2 linked regions of the Daphnia pulex genome follow. The protein of the gene in region 1 binds, or shares a complex with, the protein of each later gene. Links are inferred from orthologs where the notes say so. Each region holds a gene or a part of one and is shown in the gene's direction. Other genes may lie near its edges. The genes, in order: GRB10-interacting GYF protein 2-like and eukaryotic translation initiation factor 4E type 2-like.

The links.
Region 2: the proteins of GRB10-interacting GYF protein 2-like (region 1) and eukaryotic translation initiation factor 4E type 2-like are in contact, whole or in part, in a crystal structure (PDB 5NVM), measured with the Homo sapiens proteins. The link is inferred for Daphnia pulex from reciprocal best matches to the Homo sapiens genes GIGYF2 and EIF4E2. Residues at the interface, in NP_001096616.1 of Homo sapiens: Leu38, Ala39, Asp40, Tyr41, Arg42, Tyr43, Gly44, Arg45, Met48, Leu49, Leu51, Phe52, Leu53, Asn56, Lys57, Ile58, Pro59, Asp61, Leu62, Asp64, Glu66, Phe67, Pro69, Ile70, Leu71, Gln72; in NP_004837.1 of Homo sapiens: His54, Pro55, Leu56, Gln57, Tyr64, Arg66, Asn81, Lys83, Gln84, Ile85, Gly86, Thr87, Val91, Glu92, Phe94, Trp95, Arg96, Phe97, Ser99, His100, Met101, Val102, Leu107, Phe113, Glu149, Asn150, Leu153, Leu156, Gly157, Glu158.

The regions. Positions count from the first base shown.
Region 1 is NC_060018.1:13,094,131-13,105,479, forward strand, and holds GRB10-interacting GYF protein 2-like, read left to right. Parts: upstream 1-5,242; 5' UTR 5,243-5,415; coding exon 5,416-5,420; intron 5,421-5,606; coding exon 5,607-5,666; intron 5,667-5,752; coding exon 5,753-5,978; intron 5,979-6,063; coding exon 6,064-6,360; intron 6,361-6,420; coding exon 6,421-6,649; intron 6,650-6,748; coding exon 6,749-7,028; intron 7,029-7,097; coding exon 7,098-7,631; intron 7,632-7,714; coding exon 7,715-8,867; intron 8,868-8,931; coding exon 8,932-10,293; intron 10,294-10,368; coding exon 10,369-10,578; intron 10,579-10,647; coding exon 10,648-10,770; 3' UTR 10,771-10,993; downstream 10,994-11,349. Other genes in the region: UDP-glucuronosyltransferase 2C1-like, read left to right, coding at 1,342-1,481, 1,557-1,971, 2,099-2,624, 2,690-3,183; ras-related protein Rab-18-like, read right to left, coding at 4,027-4,146, 4,223-4,348, 4,405-4,596, 4,661-4,778, 4,839-4,906. UniProt on the Homo sapiens protein: Key component of the 4EHP-GYF2 complex, a multiprotein complex that acts as a repressor of translation initiation. In the 4EHP-GYF2 complex, acts as a factor that bridges EIF4E2 to ZFP36/TTP, linking translation repression with mRNA decay.
Region 2 is NC_060025.1:6,905,639-6,916,288, forward strand, and holds eukaryotic translation initiation factor 4E type 2-like, read left to right. Parts: upstream 1-6,334; 5' UTR 6,335-6,510; coding exon 6,511-6,539; intron 6,540-6,603; coding exon 6,604-6,679; intron 6,680-6,806; coding exon 6,807-6,859; intron 6,860-6,925; coding exon 6,926-7,130; intron 7,131-7,195; coding exon 7,196-7,348; intron 7,349-7,408; coding exon 7,409-7,545; intron 7,546-7,633; coding exon 7,634-7,676; 3' UTR 7,677-7,726; downstream 7,727-10,650. Other genes in the region: heat shock protein 83-like, read right to left, coding at 15-148, 211-692, 810-907, 980-1,271, 1,335-1,342; chromatin complexes subunit BAP18-like, read left to right, coding at 2,421-2,469, 2,535-2,595, 2,659-2,760, 2,828-3,101; H/ACA ribonucleoprotein complex subunit 4-like, read right to left, coding at 3,198-3,254, 3,427-3,564, 3,624-3,768, 3,829-3,932, 3,999-4,238, 4,303-4,463, 4,524-4,773, 4,968-5,083 and 3 more; probable sodium/potassium/calcium exchanger CG1090, read right to left, coding at 8,725-8,783, 8,856-8,996, 9,071-9,202, 9,263-9,364, 9,439-9,741, 9,810-10,039, 10,206-10,393, 10,469-10,569 and 1 more. UniProt on the Homo sapiens protein: Recognizes and binds the 7-methylguanosine-containing mRNA cap during an early step in the initiation. Acts as a repressor of translation initiation.

The DNA.
Region 1 (11,349 bases):
TCAACAAAGACGGCGACACTTGGCACTGGACTGTCGATGAATGGGAAAAGAAAAGATCTGGTTCCTTCCACGACATATGAGGAGGCCTGGGAAAGAAAAAAGGTGCGTGTCTAGAGGGTAAAGGAAGATTTCGAGAGCCAATAGGCTGGATGGATCCGAAGACTATATTAAGGCTAGGGGCGCATTTGTATACCTGTCTTGTTATTCTCCCTAGGCCAAAAAGGCTCAACCTTATTTTCACTTTTGGGTTGGGTTTTTCCGACTAGGGTCCCATTCGCATACCATCAAGTTATAGTGTCGTTAAGTTAAGGATTTAGCTTTGAAATCTTGTTTTTCTTAACTAGTACCCGTTGACGTTTCTCCCCCATGAGACCTGCACGTGCTGTCGTGGAATTTGCATTTCGTGTGAATCGACCAAACAGGTTCCGTTTGTGAAACGCCATTGGCTTATTCCCGCTTATCTATAATGACAACGACGTGATCAAATCACCATCGTCCTTTTTTTTTTGAAACTTTAGACTAATGTTCCTTTTTCTTTTTGTGAACTTTGTTCAATTCAATTAAGACTCGCCATAATTTTGTAGCATTCATCCATTTTCGGTCCGTTTTACGTCATCACAGTTGGCCATCCTCACGAAAAGGAAAACAAGAATGTGATTGATTGCCGTCATTCTCAAAGGGGAATAAAAGTTCCAAGGTAATCCCGGTGTTTTCAGGATAGAAAGGGTGGATTTTCGATCGAGCAACAACAAGGACATTTATTAGGGCAAGCGCGAATTATGTGGTAATACCGGACCCATAATATCCTATATTGCTATTAAGTTTATTCGGCCTTGGATACAGTCGCCAAATGTACGCCCCTTTTTTATTATTCGAATTAATAATATGTACTAGTGTATATCGCTTATCTCGCCATCGTCTCCCCATAGATCGCATTAGTTTTATTATTACACCGAAGAAATAGAAAAACAACGTCACAGACTGGACGAATAGACGTGTAGACATGTAAGATGTCTGAATCATTATCAGTGCCATGTCTCAGTCCGGTTTTTTCCTAAAGTTTTTCCAGACAAAAGAATAAACATTTAGGCAATACACGGTGGGGGGTGGAGCAGCGTCTTGCCACATTTCCTACAAGACCCAACCTGTACAATATTCTAGCTCGCAATATATCGAAACAATCAAGTCCCATCATCATCCCTCCTCCCCTCCCTCTGCATTACGGTATCGTCCGGTGAACTGATAAGACATTTTCTTTCGGTGTATAAATACCAGGGTGAGTTTGGTCGAACAGCACACAAGACACTTTCTAAAACTTTACCAGCAACATTTGAAACTAGAATGTCGTTTTTACCTGCTCAAGTCTCTGTTTTCTTTGTCCTGATTGGCCTGGCCAGCTGTCACAACATCCTGGTCTTTATGCCATTCGGCTCCCATAGTCATAAAGCCACTCTTATTCCACTCATTCAAGGCCTATTAGAGTACGAAATTGAATAAAACAAGACTTTTCATTATTAAATTCAAATTCTAACTTTTTATTTTTGCGTCTATTTAAGGAGGAACCACAGCGTGACTTTTATCACCAATCAAGAATCGACTGACCTTCGTTACCATAAAATGATGTACAACTTGGACGAAGTCGTCGTTCCAAACTTGAATTATTCCATGCTGGACCCGGAAAGCGCCGAGCAGAATTTTTTCGAAATAGCCGCCAAACAATCGATCGGCTCGCAGTTGAAAATTTTCAGCCACTTGTCTGGTCAAGTGAACCGAGTCCTCGATCAAACGTACAGCGACGCTGGCGTCCAATCGGTCTTGCGTCACGGCCAGTTTGATTTGCTCCTGTTGTCGCAGGTGGTCTCCTATGCTGGCTACCCTCTAGCATGGCATTTTCAATGTCCTTTCATATTATCCAGCCCGAATGTTCTAATGACAGACTCGGCTTACCTGTTGGGCGATTCTGAGCACACGGTAATGAAACCTTCATGAAGGCGATCAGGTCTTCTATCAACATTTTGTCCTTGAAATCTCGCTCCTATGTTCTTATATAATTTTGAATTCATTACTGACCTGGCGCATATTTTTATTCCGTTTCAAGGAGTACGTCCCTTTCTTTCTGATGGCCCTGACGGACCAAATGAATTTGGTGCAGCGCGTAATCAACACGGTCGTCACTCATCTGCTCAACTTCTACCAGGACGTGTTCGTCTTTCCGCGCTTGCAGCCGGCCATCGAGAAATATTTCCCTGGGGCTCCTTCCTTGATTGAAATGAAGGCCAACATCACCGCCGCCTTTGCCAATACTCATCCAGCGTTCAGTTATCCTCGAGCCTATCCACCAGGTGTGGTCGAATTGGGCGGAATTCACTGCCGCCCTGCCAAACCTCTTCCGCATCGCCTGGAACAATTCGTGGCCGAGTCCGGTAGCGCTGGTTTCATCGTCTTTGGAGTCGGTTCCATCATCCCGATGGACGAAATGCCTAGAGAAATGCTCGACGTTTTCATCCGAGTCTTTTCACGCTTACCGCAACGAGTCGTCTGGCAATGGCGAGGCTTCAACAAACCGGCCAATTTATCCGACAACATTCTGCTAGTCGATTGGCTTCCGCAACAGGATCTTTTAGGTATTTAGGAGCTTACTAAATTTCGAATGTAAATTCAAAAATTAACGGTGAATTATTGCGTACAGGTCACGAGAAATGTCGACTGTTCCTGACTCACGGAGGCCTATTGAGCACGCAAGAAGCGATCTACCACGGTGTTCCCGTTCTGGGTTTGCCGTTCATTAGCGATCAGCTGCTCAACATGGACAAGGCGGTCCGCGACGGCTATGCCCTGCAATTGCGCTGGAATGAGATCGAAGACAAGCTGCTCCACCGCACCATCCACGAGCTGATTTACCAAGATTCGTACGTGGAAAATGTCCGCAGACGTCAGAATTTGCTGCACGACCAATCAGAGAGTCCGCTAGAGCGCGGATTGTACTGGGCCGAGTACATTGCACGACACGGTGGCGCCCCGCAGTTGCAGCTAGGCTCTCGCCATCTCAACCGTTTCCAGCGATCCTTGGTCGACGTCTACTTAATCCTGGCCGCAATCGCTTGTCTCTTGATTTTCGCCACTTGGCGCTGTCTCGGCCGTTTCGAGTTCGTTGCCCGTCTGACAAAACTCGATTTATTTTAAATTGCGATCTCAAATTTTTGTAAATAACCTTTCCATTGTCGTCATTATTAAAAGAAATCTGGCTCACGTGACCCGGTGTCTAGACAGCGACGTATTGTGCAATCAGCCACCACAAGTGGCGTCGTTTTATTTCCTCCCTACTACAGATCGCGTCATCGTAACCTCAAAGGGAGGCAGCGATAAACTCGGTGACGTTTACCGACCATCACGCCACACGCGTTTCTTTTTTAATCGTGGGCTATAATCGACCGATTTAAAAATATTTTAGGTATTTCCCACGCGTGTGCCACGCGCTCAAACAAAGACGGAAATCTAAATAAACACAAAAATAACGTTTAAGCAGACCGACGTCTAGACGATTGCGATTAAATGATTAGAATGATTGCGTCGTCACGATGATAAAGAATGAATAACTGTATATCGTGTCCTACATCGAGTCAAGCGCTACGACATTCAAACAAGGAATCAATCGACAACTGCTGTTCCACTTTTCACAGCGATGCAATCATCTCAAGATAAACAGAGTACATATATGCTTAATCTAATAAGCGAACTTTCAGTGTACGTATCTAAACAACGGGAAAATTTGGATTATTTTGAAATAATGTATATTTTCACGCGCTTTCCGAAACAAACCGACATGATGTGGATTTCTGACAAGAACATTTTTGTTAAAGAACTAATAAGCCATGATTGCTCAACTGAGCAGCTTTCTCTTTACCAACTAATTAGTCGGATGACGAATAAAGTTGGTCCATTGTTGGACAGCAGACGCATCAAGTGTCTCGAATTTCGTAAACAAACCCCGAAGAAATTTACACAATAAGAATGACAGTTGTCTCTTCATACCAAACTGCAGTAACCCGAACATGACCAAGGTTGGCCGCCTTCAGTTCTGTCGGAGAGGGACATACCTCTTTGAGAGGACGCATCGGCTTCCCATAAACCAGGCGTCTGAATAATCTGTGGGGAATATAAAACATGATAACACAAGGAATCGACAGAGATAAGACTCTTTGGGGAAAAGTTATTTTCGTACCTTTTGTACAAGTTCTTCAAAGGCCATTTGGACTCCATCTTTAGTTTTCGCGCTTGCTTCTATGAAAAGCATTGAATGTTTTTTGGCAAACTTGAGCCCTTCTTCTCTGCTTACTTCTCTTCGTTCCTGGGAATATGAAAAGTGTGAAACAATGTCCACTGAACGTTACTAAAATATCTTACCTTGTCTATTTTGTTGCCTATCAACATTTTGACAATATTTGTGTTTGTAGCGTATGTTTCCAGTTCATCAAACCATGCATCCAATCTGGAAAAAGATTGTCGACTGCACACATCATACACCAAAATAGCACCCTGTGCATTTCTGTAATAGCTGGGTGTCAGTGTTCTAAATCTCTCCTGACCAGCTGTGTCCTGGAATTTTTCAAAATGATAAATCAACAAATGGAAAATGATGTCAAGTCTGCTCGTGTCATACCCATATTGCCAACTTGACATTGTTTCCATCAATGTTGATCAATTTGACTTTAAAGTCCACACCAATGGTAGCAGCCTGTTCATTGTCGAATGTGTCATCAGTAAAACGAAGCAGCAAACTGAAAGAACAATAAATCGAGATAAGGTTTGATAAACGAGTAATACAACGCTAATCTAACCTTGATTTACCAACGCCACTTTCGCCAGTAATGAGGATTTTCAACGTCGTTAACACGGAGGGATCCATTTGGAAGAAAACTGTGGCAAAAATCAATCACAATTACTTGTGTCGATGACGCAATATTCACAGATCAAGATCAGCTATGTGGAACAACGTTACAACCTTGTGAGAATGAAGCTGATTTGGCTCAAGTTGCAGTTGTATCTCTTTGTTGACGTTTTGCGACGACAGACGACCAGAGACCGACGTTGGTTTGATAATGGCTTTTTCATCATCAAAAACAACAAATAAAAGCAAATGAATATTCAAAATGATTATTATCTTTTTATTTAATTTATTGCGTCGTGATTTCGGCATGGTTATAATTTAAAATTAGTAAAATTTCGGTAGCGACAACAAGGCCCGTTGGCTCCTCCCCCCTGGTATCCGACATCTTGTAAAGCTATCGCTGCTCTAGTGCGTTGGTTGATAATTATAAACCCCTCTCTACCCGAAAAGAATATTAAAAATCTTAATTCTCGCTTCTGCTGAAATATTTCTGGATTCGTCCGAGAGCGAAATCGCATACGCAAATCATGAGGTAGTGCAACCAAAATCTTCCGAAATGCAAGAAGTTTCATGTTACATTTTGGTCGGAGAAAGCGTGTGGTTCTTGCGATTCTAGATGTTCTGTTAATCATCATACGGCGCGCCATTATTATGATTTTAATTCGTTTGGGCCATGGTCTCATACTAATGACAGGTCTCTTTTTCTTTCTCAAAACAGTACTACCACTGCAAAACCCTTGAAGATGAGTGACACTGCCCTAAAGTTCGGACCTGAATGGTAAATGTTTACACCAAAAGAATCATGGCATGAAACAAAGTGATGATTCTATACTGGAGTTGTGTGATTCTTGTGTGATGTTGCAGGCTCAGAGCTTTATCTCACGGAGACACTGCAGTATCCCCACCACCCAGTCCCAGCCTTGGAGCACCTCGATACAAGCTGGCTCAACACCGGTACGGAAGAGAAGAAATGCTAGCCCTTTATGACAAAATGATGAAGGCCCCCGATGACTTAACCACAGCCCCACCAATCTACATTGAAAAGACACAAACTCCCCTTGCACTTATTCAAATGTCTGACGAAGAGATGGTTAGTCTATTTGTTTTGGTTGGTTCTCCTGTTACCCATTGGTTAACCTGTTGCTTGATTTCATTTCCTCAATGTTTTTCTCTAGCGTATGTGGCAGCGAGGAGTCAACAGTGATGTTGTCCTAAAACAGATGGGTCGAACTGCTGGTCCACCCGTTGGAGGCAGTGGTCCACCGGTGGGAGCTGGAGCTTCTCGAGGCCGAGGCGGAGGAAGTATGGATCGTGGAAGAGGAAGAGCTCGCGGCGTTGGTTCAGCAGTCGGAGCGTACAATCGTGGAACGAGTTATGAAGATGGAGGAGATCCAGGAGATCATGGGACTCGCAGAGAAGGTCCACCGACAGGTTATGGAAGAGGAACTACTCGGCCTTTCGAGCGATCCCAGGTTGAACCCATCTACTACCCAATTTAATAGTCAAATTCATTACGTATTTATTTCATTTAGAGCTCCTCTGAACGGGTTTGGATCGAGCGACCCGAGAGAAATGGTGGCGGTGCCGAGTCAGAGACGTGGAACGGCTCTACTAGTCCACGTAAAGAATTTGGCACTGCCCGCCCAGCCGCCGGCGACAATAATTGGCGGTCGCGTGAGGCCATGAGAGAACGCGCTGAACGGGCCGAGAACAAAGAAGAGGAAGATGGTTGGCGAACTGCTGGTCGTGGAGAACGTTGGGGTACGTACTGTACAGAGTAGTAACACGCGAGTTCACATCGAACATGTTTTGACGTTTTACTTTTTTGCTTTTGTTTAAAAAAAAAACAACCACACGCAGGTCGAACTGGCTGGCGTTCTGAACGTGAAGGTGGGGAACGTGATCCACCGGGTGGTGAGAAACGAGATCCGTGGGTAGAAGGTAGTAATAATAGTAGCGGAGGAGGAGGAGTTGGCGGCGGAGGAACTGGAGAACGTTCAGAAAGAGTCCATCGCACTTGGGACGATGATGGCCGTCCAACGGGTAGTGCTGGCTACTACTCTAATAGCAGTAGGGGTGGTAGAGGCGGACACCATCCCAATCGGCGGGGTTGGGATGAAAACGACTCACTTCCCGAGTGGTAAGACTTGAACTAATACAACAAATACAAAATTTGATGATAATTGATTTGTAAAAATCTCGGACACAGGGTCGCGGAAGAACATTTACAAGGGGGAGGAACGTTTGACTCTTCCGGCGCTTTCCGCGACGAAAGGTGGTCAGACGAGGATGACGGTGAAGGCAAGAAGAGACGCGTGTTGCGGAAGAGAGCCGAACCGTCTCACGACGGAGGTGTCGGGGATGAAGACGGTGGCCCTGTCACGGTCGATTCCCCTTCCAAGGACAACGTTAAAGACTCACAAATCCACGAGGAACAACCGTCAGCTTCTCCTCCGGCTGCCGTCACTCCTGTCCAGGTTGCCGCCCATCAAATCTCCGCCACTTCCGCCGCTGCCGCCACCGTTGTCAATTCAAGTCCTCCCGTCCTCCGTGGTCCTAGTCCTGAGTCCTCATCAATGTTATCTCAGCCCAATCTGCGTGTGGACGAGGACGGCCTGGAACACGCTCAAGCGGTCGTGTCGACGCTGGTGGCTCAGTTGGTGGAAGACGAAGACCAACCGAAACCATCGCCGAGTCCGCCAAACCCTCAACTGAACTTAAGCATGGATCAATGGTTTTACAGGTTGAATCCTTATTTGTTGATTTCTTTCGTTTCATTTTTGCTTTAACGGCGTGAATTTCTTGTGCTCGTTTGGTGCGAGGCAGAGATCCACAGGGTGAAGTGCAAGGCCCGTTTGCGACGGCCGAAATGAGCGAATGGTTCAATAGCGGTTATTTCACCATGGCGTTGAGTGTCCGACGTGCCTGTGACGAACGTTACGCTCAATTGGGCGAACTGACGAAGATGTGGGGCCGTCTGCCCTTCATGCCTGGCCCTCCCATCCCGCCTATGAAGAACTCTGACCTGCATCCGCTGGTGTCGGCCGAGCAGGAGAAGCTGCAGATGCTCCAACAGCAACTCATCCAGCAGCAAATGTTCCAGCAGCAAATGATGCAGCAGCAGCACATGCTCAGGCAACAGACGATCATTGCCAAATTGTCGCAGATGGAAGGCTGGAACACGCTGTCGCCCATCCAGCAGCAGCAGGTGGTTAACCAGCACATGGCAAACATGCCGCATCCACTCCCGGGTGATCCTGTCCTCCAGCAATTGCGGCTCCAGATGGAGGCTCAAGCTAAACTCCAAGCTGAAATGATTCAGCTTCAGCGCAGCAAAGAACAGCATCAGCAGCAGCAACAACAACAACAGCAGCAGTCTGTGCACTCTTTAGTCAACCATCTCAGCCAGCAGCATCATCAGCAACCGCAAGCAGTATTAGAGCAGCCAGCTCTTGCCAACAATCCCAACAACCTGATGAAGTCTCATGATCCGATTCAGGCGTTTATCCAGCAGTTGCTGGGGCAATCGAAATCGCCCCCGGCCGTCGTTTCGAAACCTCCTACCAGCTCCATCATGAATAACCCTAAACCACAAGAAGCCCAGGTTGTCCTGGATCCCATCCAAAGTCTCATCCAACAAGCTCAATGGAACGCCAATCATGTAGCGGCCCAAAGTGTTGGTGGAACCATCGTTGATCCAGTGATGGGCAATCACGTGGCGCCGGGCTTCCATGGACTGCCTCCTGGCGTCGGTGTTCCCTGGCACAATCACTCTGCGCTCTTCCAGGCCGGTCCTGCAGAGCTTCAGCCGCCCATGACGTCCGTTTGGGATCTTGAAAGCGCCAAGGTCGAGGAAGCAAAGCGCCAAATGGAGCAACAACATCAACAGCAAATGGCCGCCGAAATGCACCGCAGGGAGATGGAGGAGAAGCGGATGAAAGAGGAGGAAGAAGAACGTCGACGACGACTTGAAATTCAAGTAAATATTTAGAAATAAAGCTGCGAATGTTTGTGTTTTTAATTTTTAACTTTTCTTGTTGCAGGAGAGGGAGGAAGAGAGGATGAGGATAGAAGAGATGCGAAGGGAGACGGAACGACAGCAGCAAGCGGAAGAAATGAGGAGGAGAGAGCTGGCGCAACAACAGCAGCAGCAACAACAGCAAATGCAAGCCATGGAAGAGAAGCGGCGGCGCGAGGAGGAGAAGCGCAAACGAGAGGAGGAGTTGAAACAACAGCAACTGGAAGAGGAAAGGATCCGGCGAGAAGAAGAAAGGATCCGGAAAGAGGAGGAGAAGGCGGCCGAACAACACCGCCGCCAGCAGGAAGCCCTTCAGAGGCTTCAGGAGCAGCAAGCCGTGGCTCAGGCTCAGGCTAGAGCGGCCGCCCAGCAAGCGGCTGCTGCAGCCGCCGCCGCCGCTCAACAACAGGCGCAGGCTCAAGCTCAGGCTAAAGCTGCTCAGGCCATGATGGCTCCGTGGGCCCAACAACAGCAGCAGCAGCAACAACAGCAACAGCAAACCGGTGAATCGCTGAGCATGGCTGAAATTCAAAAGTTGCAGGAAGAAAAGGAAGCCAAAGAAAGGGCAATCGCCCAGGCCCAAAAGGCCGAGCAGGCGGCTCGTGCGGCCGCTCTTTTACAGCAGCAACAACAGCAAGCGGCCATTAAGCTCCGCTGGGCCAAACAAAACACTCCGACCCCATCCAACGCCAAGTCTCTGGCCGAGATTCAGGCCGAGGAGGCAGCTCAACTTGCCCAGCAAAAGGAGAAGGAAGCCAAAGAAAAGGCCAACCAGCAGGTGAACATGGCGCACCTGAATCTGGCGGCAGCCAGCGCTTGGGGGTCATCGCACCACAGTAATTCGGCTTGGAGTTCTGGCCGGACTGTTGCCGCTGTTGTGGCCCAACAGCAACCCCCACCACCTCCCCCTTCGGCGGCAGCGGCGACGGCGGCCACCACCACCGCCAAAACCAATCATTCCACCACCACGAATGCCGACTGGAAAATTGGCCTGACGGTTGGTTTCTGGGAGGATCCAACCCCTCCACCTCCAAAGGCCACGAGCAAACCGGCTCAGCAGCAAGCGGCGGCCAAGTCTGCTGGCGGTGGTGGTGGCAAGTCTGCTGCGGCGGCTGCGGCGTCCAAGCAGCCGCAACAACAAGCAGCGGGAGCTAAGCAACAACAACAACAACCGGCCACTTCCAAAACGTCGGGTTCGACGACGACGGCGGCGGCGTCGAACAACAAGAACCGCAGTAATAAGGAGGAAGAAGCGGTTCGCAAGCTGTTTAATCAAACTGCCGCCGCCGCCGCTGAAAAGAAGGATAGTTTTAGTCAGTGGTGTTTTGAGTACCTGAAGAAAGTCCAGGCACAGATTGATGTGCCCACATTTGTCGCCTTTCTCAAGGTACAGTTAATCTTTTGAGTCGGGTCGTTAATGTTTCTTGACTACATTTTTTTTTCTTGATTACATTTATTACAGGACGTGGAATCTCCATTTGAAGTCCAGGAGTATGTTCGCTTGTATCTTGGCGAGGGCAAAGACGCCAAAGAGTTCGCCAAGCAATTCCTTGATCAACGTTCTCGTTGGCGCCAGATGCAAAGAAACGTCCAGCAATACGAAGAGGACAACATGTGCATCCCGGCCAAAGCCATAAATCCGGGACAATCATCTGACTTCCATGAAGTTAAAGTAATTATTTAAAAATAAAAGATAAAACGTTGTCTCTACCATTTCACTAATGAAAATGTTCCGTTTTAGTCTAAATCCAAGAAGTCTAAGAAGAAGATGCAGAAAGTGGATGCCAGTTTGTTGGGATTCAGCGTTTCTGCTTCGACGGATCGCATCAACGTCGGTGAGCGCGATTTCGTGGACGGCATGTGAATCATTGTTAAAGAAAGCCAAAAAAAAAAGATAAAATCAACGACCACACACGACAAGAGACGAGTTCAAACTTATAAAGCAACCAATATGATTATTGTTTATTGGGGTTTAGGGATGGACAATTAAGATGTCGACACACAACAAGTTTTACGCAACAAACACACCAACAGCAACAATTTCAAAACGTCTTGAGTGTGGAAAGTTGGTGGGCAGCAATAAAAGTTAACAAAAATATAAACGTGATCAAGTTCTTTTCGTTATCCCTCACCAGCAGAAAAGAATCAGGGCTGGACATTTTGTTCTGTTACAATTTTTCGGCACTGAATCAAAAAATATCAATTTGATCTTGGTCACGAATCAAATACAAACATCTTAAAAAAAAATTGTTTTTCAATTCTCGTAGCATTTCCTTTAACGTTTAGTTCATTAGTATAAGCACCGCATGAGTGCCAACTTGTTTAATGTTTTCGTGGGATTGTTTGTTTTTTTTCCGTACAAAACACAAAAATTTTAAGAGTTTCCACGGGAAATTTGGTAACTTTAATTTTGTTGGATAGTTTCCAAAAGGGTATTCTTTTT
Region 2 (10,650 bases), on another chromosome or scaffold:
AATACAAGTCAAATTTACCTGCGAATGAATCCGCCATTGTCACACTTTTTCTGTGCTTCCGTGCCAGGCTGGAAAAGGTATTCCGGTCGGTAAAGGACATCGACGATAACGGAAGACTTGGCTTGAACCAAAGAATGCAGTTGAGCCTCTAACAAGACGACAATGTCTTACAGGCCATCAATAATTGTCCGATCAAAGCGGACGCTCAACTGTGACTGCGAAGATTCCCGACTGAAGACGCTACGATCGAAATATTTTGCTGGCCTTGCTGGCCCCCAAGTGTAGGGCTGGTTTGTTGAAGAGCGAAGTCCAAGATGTCCTTTATGATTTTGCAGAGACCCTCGAATTTGGCCTTGTCGCTCTCGCGTTTCTTGGTTTCTCCATCATCTTCGGGGAGTTCCAGACCCTCCTTGGTGACGGAGACGAGCTGCTTGCCATCGTATTCCTTGAGCTGCTGGACGACGTACTCATCAATGGGCTCAGTCATGAAGATGACCTCCAATCCGCGCTTCTTGCCACGCTCGACGAATGAGGAGTTGCTGACTTGTTCTCTGTTGTCACCAGTGATGTAGTAGATGTGTTTCTGGTTCTCCTTCATGCGGGAAACGTATTCCTTGAAGGAAACCTGGTTTTCTCCAGAGGCGGAAGTGTGGAAACGGATGAGGTCAGCGATCTTCTTGCGTAGGTAGAATCTTCATGGACTCCCAACTTCAGGTTCTTGCTGAATTGTTCGTAAAACTTTCTTGTCGTTCTCATGCTTCTTTTCCTCCTCCTCAGCCTCATCGTCGCTCACTTTCTTGTCGCGCTACTTCTCAACCAATAGCTTGATTGGGTAGCAAATGAACTGTGAGTTCTTCTTGACAACCTCCTTGACTTTCTTCTCCTCCAGGTAATCCATCGGATAATCCTGTCAATAATGAAAAAAAAAATACAGGCATGAGCATATTGGAAATTATGCCAATGAAGACAAAGAACATACCTTCAAGTGGAGGATAATCTTGGTTCCTCTACCCATGGGTTCTCTGTGATCAGGCTTGATGGTGAAAGAACCACCAGCTGACGATTCCCAAACATACTGCTCATCATCATTGTGCTTGGAATGAACTGTCACCTTGTCGGCAACCAGGTAAGCAGAGTAGGAACCCACACTAAACTGACCAATCATGGAGATGTCAGCTCCGGCAGAGAGGGCTTCCATGAAAGCTTTAGTTCCAGACTTGGCAATAGTACCCAAGTTGTTAACCAAATCAGCCTTGATCATGCCGATACCACTAAAGAGAAACAGAACAGTCAAATTCGTGTTCAAATAGGAGGAACTAAATTTCTCAACTTACGTATCCATGAGAGTGAGTCAGCATTCTTGTTGGGGACAATCTTGATTTTAAGGTCCTTACCGCTGTCCAACTTGCTTGGGTCAGTCAGGGATTCATAACGGATCTTGACTAGGGCATTTGAGGAGTTGGAGATCGACTATAGAAGGTGTTGATAATCAAGCTCATAAGCTGAGCAATCTTGGCCTGGGATGTGAAAGTCTCAGCTTCGTCTTCCATTTGAACTTCTCCAGGCATCTAAAAAGGAAAAGGAAAATATTTCAGTAAGAAATGTTTGTCAATTGTGGTAGATCACACTCAAAAATAGAAATTCTACATATATCTATGGACTTGAGGCATATCAAAAAATGTGTAAATAACCAATTTGTTTGTCTAAACCAGTACAGTAGTAAAACTTACTTTGCTTTAAAACGTAAACAAACAAACCGGACGCTTTTCTGTTCACGTTTGGTGGGGATCTACATGTATACAAGGCCGCCGGGCAGTCGTAAAAATTGCCACCAAATTCGCTTCTTGTTAGGCCTGCAAACTATAGCTTTTGGGTTGACACACATCAAGCCGGGAAAGTGAGCCCGTTCGACTTTGAATCGCTGTGTAAAAAATACAGCTATTAGTATATCTTCATGTGATCCATTTTGAAGACCTTTCTTTGTTTAATCTCTTTCATACAAAAATTTTCGTGATTTGTAAGACATTTACGTAAATTTTGTGTTAATGTTTAGTGGCGTTTTGAATTTTGCAGTTTGAATTGCAGCGGTGGCGTTTCGAAACTGAGCCCCGTTTGACTTAGAATCGCTGTTTTAAAAAATAAATCTATTATATCTTCGTAAAATGTGATCCATTTTAAAGAGATTTCTTTGTTTAATCAAATGCCTACAAAAATTTGCGTGATTGTTGTCACAATTACGTAAATTTAAGTGTCTAATTACTGCAATTGAATTTTGCAGTTTGAATTGCAGCGGTGGCGTGTCAAAACTGAGCCTCCTTCGACTGTGACTAGAATCCCTACGGGAAATTATGTTTTTTTATACCAAATAATTGACTTTGTGGTGAATTTTCTGGGTTAGTTGTTTGTAAAAGTGCACAAGAATGAACTCTGCTAATAAGGTTGCCGATATATTTGGAGCTGCAGGATTAGGTAAAATACACATGGTGTATGTAGGTAATTGTTGAATGAGTGATTTCAGCCATTATTTTTCTTAGCTTTCAGTACGTTGGGGAAATTGACCATGCAGCTACATTCCTCAGAAAATGCCAATGCTGGGTAAATAATTTAAAGTAATTTACTTTTGTAACACTGTTGTATTTTTAATTTTTTCTTATACAGGTCAAAATGGAGTGAAGATGAAATTGAAATGTTGAGAAGTTCCATTAAGCGCTTTGGAGAAGATCTTGAAAAGATTTCTGAACATATTAAAGACAAGACAGTGTAAGTTGATTGCAAAAATCATATGTCAGTGTTCAAATTTCAAATTTTATTTGCTTCTATTTATTAGGACACAAATTCATGGTAGTTTGAAGAAAAAAACTTTTGAGGCAGCAGGTATTCCTTTGTCCAAAGTCATCAGCCAACCAGTTGTTCAACCAAGTCCACTCCAGAATATTAATTCAAGTCCTCAGCAAGCAGTTGTAGTTGTTCAACAACAGCCCCAAATGATTAATAACAAGTCAACAGCTGAAGTGACATTGAACATGTTAAATGCCTCTGAAAATGAAGTTGATGTTGAAGGGTTAAATTTTGAAGGAGCAAATGAAGTTGTCACATCTTGAAACTTTCTGATAAATTAATACACAGCATAAAAATGAAATGAATTGTATTTTCGAATTTTCTTGCAAACATAATATTACAAATTATTTCAATTATAATTAATCATCTTCCCGATCGACATCTTTCTTTTTCTTTTTTTTCTTGGCAGACTCCTCCTAAATAGAAATATGTTCACATTACTAATGCATACCAAATTACTCGGCGAATAATATTTGCAGTATGTTTTCATTTAGGTAATTTTCGTCAGAAATATTCCGTTCACTACTTTCATTAAATAATCACGACACCTTTGTTTAAAAAAAAAATTAATTGACAAGTTTAATTTACCTTGATTGTTGATGTGTCCACTGCAATTGAAAGGTCTTCATTTTCAGCTGTTTTATCTTTCTTCTTCTTTTTCTTCTCTTTGGTTTCAGGAACCGATTCTACGGTGGCATCAAGAATGCTTTCATTACCCTGCGGCTCCTGAAAATCATCCATAAATGATTAAGACATCATTATTTCACAAGAGTATAAACACTTACCCGGTCTTTGTCCTTTTTCTTCTTCTTCTTCTCCTTGGTTTCCGTCATGGATTCTGACAACGGATCAGCAACGGCGCTCGTTTCACTTAACTTTCTTTTTCGTGCCTCAGCATCTTCAGTTGGTTCAACCTTTTCTTTTTTAACGCTACAGAAAAATATAATATTATTGAAAAATTTGATACAAATACTGCGTTGAATTACATACTTTAGGTCTACATAAGATGTCAACCAATCTTTAGGTGTCTTGTCATTAGGTTTGCCAAACTTATCCAAGAGTCCCTGTTTCACCATACCCTTCTTGACGGAAGCCTAAAATTAAACAAATACATACATATACATACAAGTAACGCCAATGTAAACTATATCAATTTTTACTTTAGGTCCAAGTCCCCATTTCCTGGGATAAGTGTCACGCTCCATGACAACACGTTTAATTTTGGCAACAATACCATGGTCACATGAAGCCATGGTTGTTGTCGTCATCAAAGCAATGGCGAGAGCCACTGCTTCTCCTTTGGTTGTTACTATAACAATCTCTTCATTTAGTTCGATACCATTTTCGTACCGCAATACACCAGGCAACATGATTTTAGCTCCATAGCAAACGGCATTAACCTGTTATATATTTTTTTAACACATTATTATAAAGAATATTATAGATAAATATTAACACACTTACAGCACTGTCTTTCATGATTATTCGCTTGTGAGACATCATCAATGCCTCTAATGGACGAATAACCCGCCGCAGATATGTTTCGTCCTTATGATTATCATGTAACCACTGCGCATCGATTACATCGTGCATAGTCATTAACCCTTCTTTTTCACTTTGGATACCTTATAAAAAATAAAATCTTCATCTTAAGAACACACACAAAAAGAAACTTCCTGGCTTACCAGAACGAACTCTTCTGAGTTCCGCCATCTGAGCTCCTACGCCTAGCACCAAACCGAGATGGACACAGTGGGTACGAACGTAAGTTCCGGCTTCACAGCTAACCCAATAGATACCCATTTGTCTCTCGGCATCGTACTCGTAAAATTTACTCTCGTAAATGGTTCGCACACGAAGTTGTCGCTTAACAGCCGAGATCAGTGGTGGACGCTGAAACAAAGCTCCAGTCAACTTCTCAAGAGCTCGAGGAATCTTAATAAATAAAAAAAATATATACAAAATTAGTATTTATAAAGATCAAGTTTCTAACTTAAAAAATTAACAGAATTCAGTTAAATGCTTCATTATCTTTAATTATCTTCAGTCATTTCAGTCCACTACTTTCGATAAATTAATCATTAGCATCTTTAGCATAAGGCTTTCAACTAGAAGGGTCAAGAAACTACCTGATTGTTATCTTCAACTGCAGAATGAAGCTTAAATATGGCAACATACTCTTTGCCAGCTCCCTGCTGAGATTTGACCAGCCTTGTAGCACGATCAATGCAAACAATCAAACACCCTGTATAATATTCAATTAGTAAAGTCCATGGGATTTTCTGAGTGCTATCAACATACCTGTAACTTTAGGGTCCAATGTTCCTGAATGACCCGTCTTTTCACATCTTAGAATCCTCTTAATCCAGGCAACTACTTCGTGAGAGCTTGGGTTAGATGGCTTGTCAAGATTAATAAAACCGCCATGAATATAATCTTTAATTGGCCTCTTCAATGGTGAACAACCACTTGGAAGAGGTGTATAATGATTTGTCCTTGTGTTTAACTTGTCAAAATTCTGAAAAAAAAAGATGATTTAGAAAATGTTCACATTTCTTAATAAATAACAAGGGAAAAATTAATATCTATAAAGATCAAGTTTCAAACTAGAAAAATTTTAAGAATTTAGTTTTAAATGCTTCATTATCTTTGAGTGTCTTCAGTCTTTTCAGTCCACTACTTTCGATAAATTAATCATTAGCATTCTTAGCATAATGCTTGTATAGATAGATACTAAAATAAATTATTTTGAGAACATCTACATTTAATTTAATATTTAACAACATACCTTTAGTAACAGCGGCCATTGTGAACAGTCCAATTTTGCTACTGGTTTTTCTGATGGCTCCAACACAAAGTCTGAATCTCCTTGAATATCTCCCAAGGACTTTCTTGACTTCTTTCCACTTTGTTTCTCTCCTAGGACTTCTGAAACACAGGAATGCTAACATTAACCGACACGTGTTACCAACATTAATCCGTAGATCACAGAATTAACCAAATTAATGTAAATTTCGAATCATACTATTTGTGCAGCAAACTACAATGCATCTTTTCCATGTGAAAACACATAATCGATCCCTATAACTAGCTTGTAAAATTTATATTATGTGATGGCGCTTACCAGATGAATGCATCGTGCTTCACACGTGGTTCGAAGTCCTGTCTTTGATCTAATGTGTTGAAAAACCTCTGCTACAAAAAAAGAAACCAATGAGCGGAAGTGTTGAGCGTTGCCATTTGATTTTTGATTCTTATTTTTGGAAAAAAATTAATCACGAAGTCACTTTTTCTGCTATGACATGTATTTCCAATATTTTACTTGATTTTAAAATTCAATGGTTCAAATTATCTCTTTATTACCATTACATTAGAAGTTACAATAACTATAACATCTTTCTCCCGTGGGCCGTGGCGCTTTGGCTTTGGGAAGGGTACTCTAGTGTGTGGCGCCAAAACCTCTTGAAGGTCACCTGGTGGCAACTGGTGGCAATTTTTCGCTACTCTATAGTGTGGGTACTGTTTAGTGTTTTCACCATCTAAAATTTGTACAACATTTCTGGACATACTGCTTGTTTCTTTCTTTAGTCTTTCTACTACATGCTGCAAATTGGTGTATAAATTAAGTGAACAATTTGACTGTAACACTCCGATTTCGTAAACTATTTACAAATGGCCCTTAATAACAATAAATTTGATGCGTAAGTTTTCAAATTTTATACATGTTTTAATAGAATTTGCGTTTACTTTGTTGCTTTTCGACAGGTTGAACAACAGCGAAGACAGTGATGACGACGAAACTTCATTCAGTGAAGAAAGAAAGAAAAAGGATTTAATTTTGGTGAGATATTAACTGCATAATACACAAAAAATTATTGTAATATCTATTAACTCTATGTTAATGATGTGATAATTGCGATAGACGAATTTATGTGCTCACTTACCCATTTTTTCCTACTAATTTAAAGGTTAATTTTTTTCAGCAACCCATTCAAGTTCCTCGAGAAGAACATCCACTCCAGTACACATGAAAATGATATTACTTTTATTAGTACATGTTAATTATAGAAATACCATTTGTTTTTAGATACACATACTGTTTGTGGTTTAGTCGGAGAGCTCCTGGAAAACATGCAGCACCCCAAAGCTTTGATCAGAATCTAAGAATGGTTGGACGTTTTGCTTCTGTAGAACAGTTTTGGTCATACTATTGCCATCTGGTCAGGCCTTGTGAACTCTCTGGTCACAGTGACTTTCATTTATTTAAAGATGGAATCAAACCAATGTGGGAGGTTGTATTATTAAATAATAATAAGGGTGGTGAAGTGTTTATTAACCTACTTTTTTTTCCCAACAGGATGATGCCAATCGTTGTGGTGGTAAATGGATTGTGCGTCTTCGAAAAGGTTTAGCCTCACGTTGTTGGGAGAACTTAATATTAGCTATGTTAGGCGAACAATTTATGGTAGGCGACGAAATATGTGGAGCTGTCGTCTCAATTCGATTTGCTGTAAGAAAAATGTTTTTTGTGTTAAAAATCATATAATTTATATAAATATATATATTTTAGGAGGATATTATTTCGGTATGGAATCGAATTGCAAGTGATCAGGCTACTACCAACCGAATTCGAGATACACTTCGTCGAGTCTTAAACCTTCCACCGAACACAATACTTGAATACAAAAACCACACGGATTCTCTAAAGTACGGAATGGTGGTCTCGCCATTCAAATGAGAATTCATAATCTTTTTCTCTTTCTTTCCTCTACCTCTTCTCCCTTCAAATCTCCAGGGACAATTCCAGTTTTCGGAATACCGATGTCTTTGTCCGATAAAGACACAATATTTTACATCTCAAGCGGAATATAAATAAGTTGAAAGTTGACCTGGTCACGGTGTTCATTACCGATACTGTTATTTCTAGCTTTATAAAAGTTTGATTCAAATGTGTCTAACATTCTTCGTTGAATAATCTCTAAATACGAGTTTATTCAATACTTTTATGGAAGAACCAACTTAAGCGTCAAATGTTGTAATGATTACTTATTAGCTTTACACTGTAAAGCATGGGAGCTTGTGGTGAAACTATTTGTTGTTAATTGATTTTTCCTCAAAACCACACATTTGACAGACGGTTGATTTATTAGCTTGAGATGCTACTAACACGGAGTAGTACATTCAGCCTAGAATTAAGAAATGCGCTAGATTTTTCAGGTGAGAAACATGCGTAATGTATGTGGAATAGGGTGATGAACGGTTATATTAAATGAGAAAAGTGGAAATCAAAAATCAACATCCATTGTAGCTCACCGCTCGACGAACGTCAAAATTTTGCTGGTGATACTTCGATTCGGAATTGTAAGTAGTGATTTACGATAAACAAGGTTTCACGGTGAAATAGATTGCGAAATATAATACTGAAATTAACAAAAGAGGAAAATGGAAAGCAACCTTACTTATTTAACATCAACAAATTGGCACACGTCGAGACACCGAAATACGAATCAAATGTAAACAAACAAAAGGACGATGGCGGACCATCGCAAAATAATAAACAAAATTTTAAACCACACAATAAATGAACTATAATTTTATATTATTGTGAATGTAAACATCGTTGCAGTTGTATCTGTATAGATTAGTAGAATAAAAATTTTGAGCTCTACCAAGGACCATATATGTGCGGCCGAGAGCTGCGGAGCCCGTTCAAGCTCCGGGAAACAGCTTGTAAGCTAGATAGTGCGGATTGTATATCAGCTTCATTCCCTGTTGAATCCAGGTTACCATGAATTGATTCCCTATAAATACTGCATGACTGGAGTTGCCAAGAAGATGATATTTGTTGGTGTAAGATGGTCACCTAGAATAGATGCGCTTCATTTCTCAAAATTCGCTGTCACATTCCGGCGGGTTAAAGTAGCCAAAGATGTTCATCTCGTACACTAGAGTAAAATTTATGAATAGGTTAATACAAAATTCAGCGTTAGTTAGAATAAAACCTAATTTAAACGTACTAGAAGCGATGATCATGAAGAACAAATACCACCCCAGAAGAGCAACTCCGTATTTGCGATCCAGCTTCCAGCCATTCAGATGAGTGGCGCCCAACAAGAAAACAATGGTTGACAGCAATGATAGGGTTGAATATGTTAATCCTGCATTTTTAACAGAATAATACTTCATGGTTCCGTAAACGTGAGCAATGGTGAAAGTGTCGGTGGTACAGTACCTTTGCTGATGACTCGAACTACACTTCCCGGATCAACGACGGCCGTTTGAAGAAACCAAGGTAGCCCCAGACAAATGAGAATATCGAATACATTGCTGCCGATGGCGTTGGATGTAGCCATGTCACCGTAACCTAAAGAGAACGAATGATTACTATTTGTATCAAATTTTCCTTTTATTCAGTCATTTTCACCTTCTCTGGCAACAGCCAAACTGGTTAGAATGTCGGGAATACTGACACCAGCAGCCACAAACGTCAATCCCATCACAGTATCCGGAATTCCCATAGTGAAACCTGATCACAAATTTAGTAAAATAATGTACCGTCTAATAAATACAAACATATTCGAATGAGTAAATATTACTAACCAATAATAGTGATCATCCAGACCATGACGTAGGAAAAGATGGAAATCCAGAGCATGCTGATGAAAAAAGAAACAAGGAACCAACTGCCCCATTTCTCTAAACGGCAGTTGGGCATCGTGTAGTAAGCAGCAGCACGCAACGGCAGGCAGATGGCCCACGTGATCCGGTCTAGAAATTCTACTGGTGGTACCCACGGCGAAAATCGCTCTGCCTCCTCCTCTTTAATCTTGCTGATCGAAGGGCCGGAAGTGCCTCCAGCGTCACAGGGACCAACATTTCCGTCAATCGAAGATTTCACAGAATCTATTGAAGTATTTCCAAAGAAAAATGTTAAAATCGGAACAAAGTTTCCTGGATGTGTGAGGCATTACCAGGGGATCTTTCGTCGGTGTAGAGTTTCCCAGCGGGGCCACTAATGCCACCTGCCTCCGAGTCAAGATTCTTGTAGGGCATCAGCGACGCGTTTTCCCCACCGGGAAGTCTACGGGCGTAGTCGGGAATAGGAATAGGCAAAGTGTTTGCCCATCGCTCCAGTTGAGAGTTGTAGACCATCATTACACAATAGGCCACGTAGAGCATCAGGAAAATGGTCGACTCGTACCTTTGGATAGTCCAAAACGATTACGTTACCATTAAAACAAAATCGAATAGATTTTTTGACTGCCAAGGTTTAATGGCGCACGTTAATGGTAAATGGTAACAAAACATTCTTGATAAGACAATAAAGCTCCAAAATCGATATTTGGAATGTCGAATATTTCCATTACCATGTGACAACTTCATTGTAGATGGTGAAGAGAAGAGCAAATATGGCCACGAAATAAGCGATGCAGTCACGAACAAGCGGCCACCAATTCAGATAGATGACACCTCCGGAAAAGAGGGCGCACACGCTGATAACAAACATGATATTGAAGACGGCAGAGCCAATCACGCCACTGATACCTATGTCATCCTGTAACAAAATACATATATCAGTTACATTTATTTGACTCTGATGAAAGAACCCGAGAAATTCATTCGACATTACCTTGGCTATGAATACACCAATCACTGCAGTTGCAAGTTCTGGAGCGGATGAACCAGCTGCCATAAAAGTAGCTCCCGCCACATCTTGAGACATGTGCAGGGCTGCCGGAAATCGGTTTCATTAGCTGATTATTGTCGGAAATAAGAAAAACAAATTTACAACATACATTCCACCATCCTTTC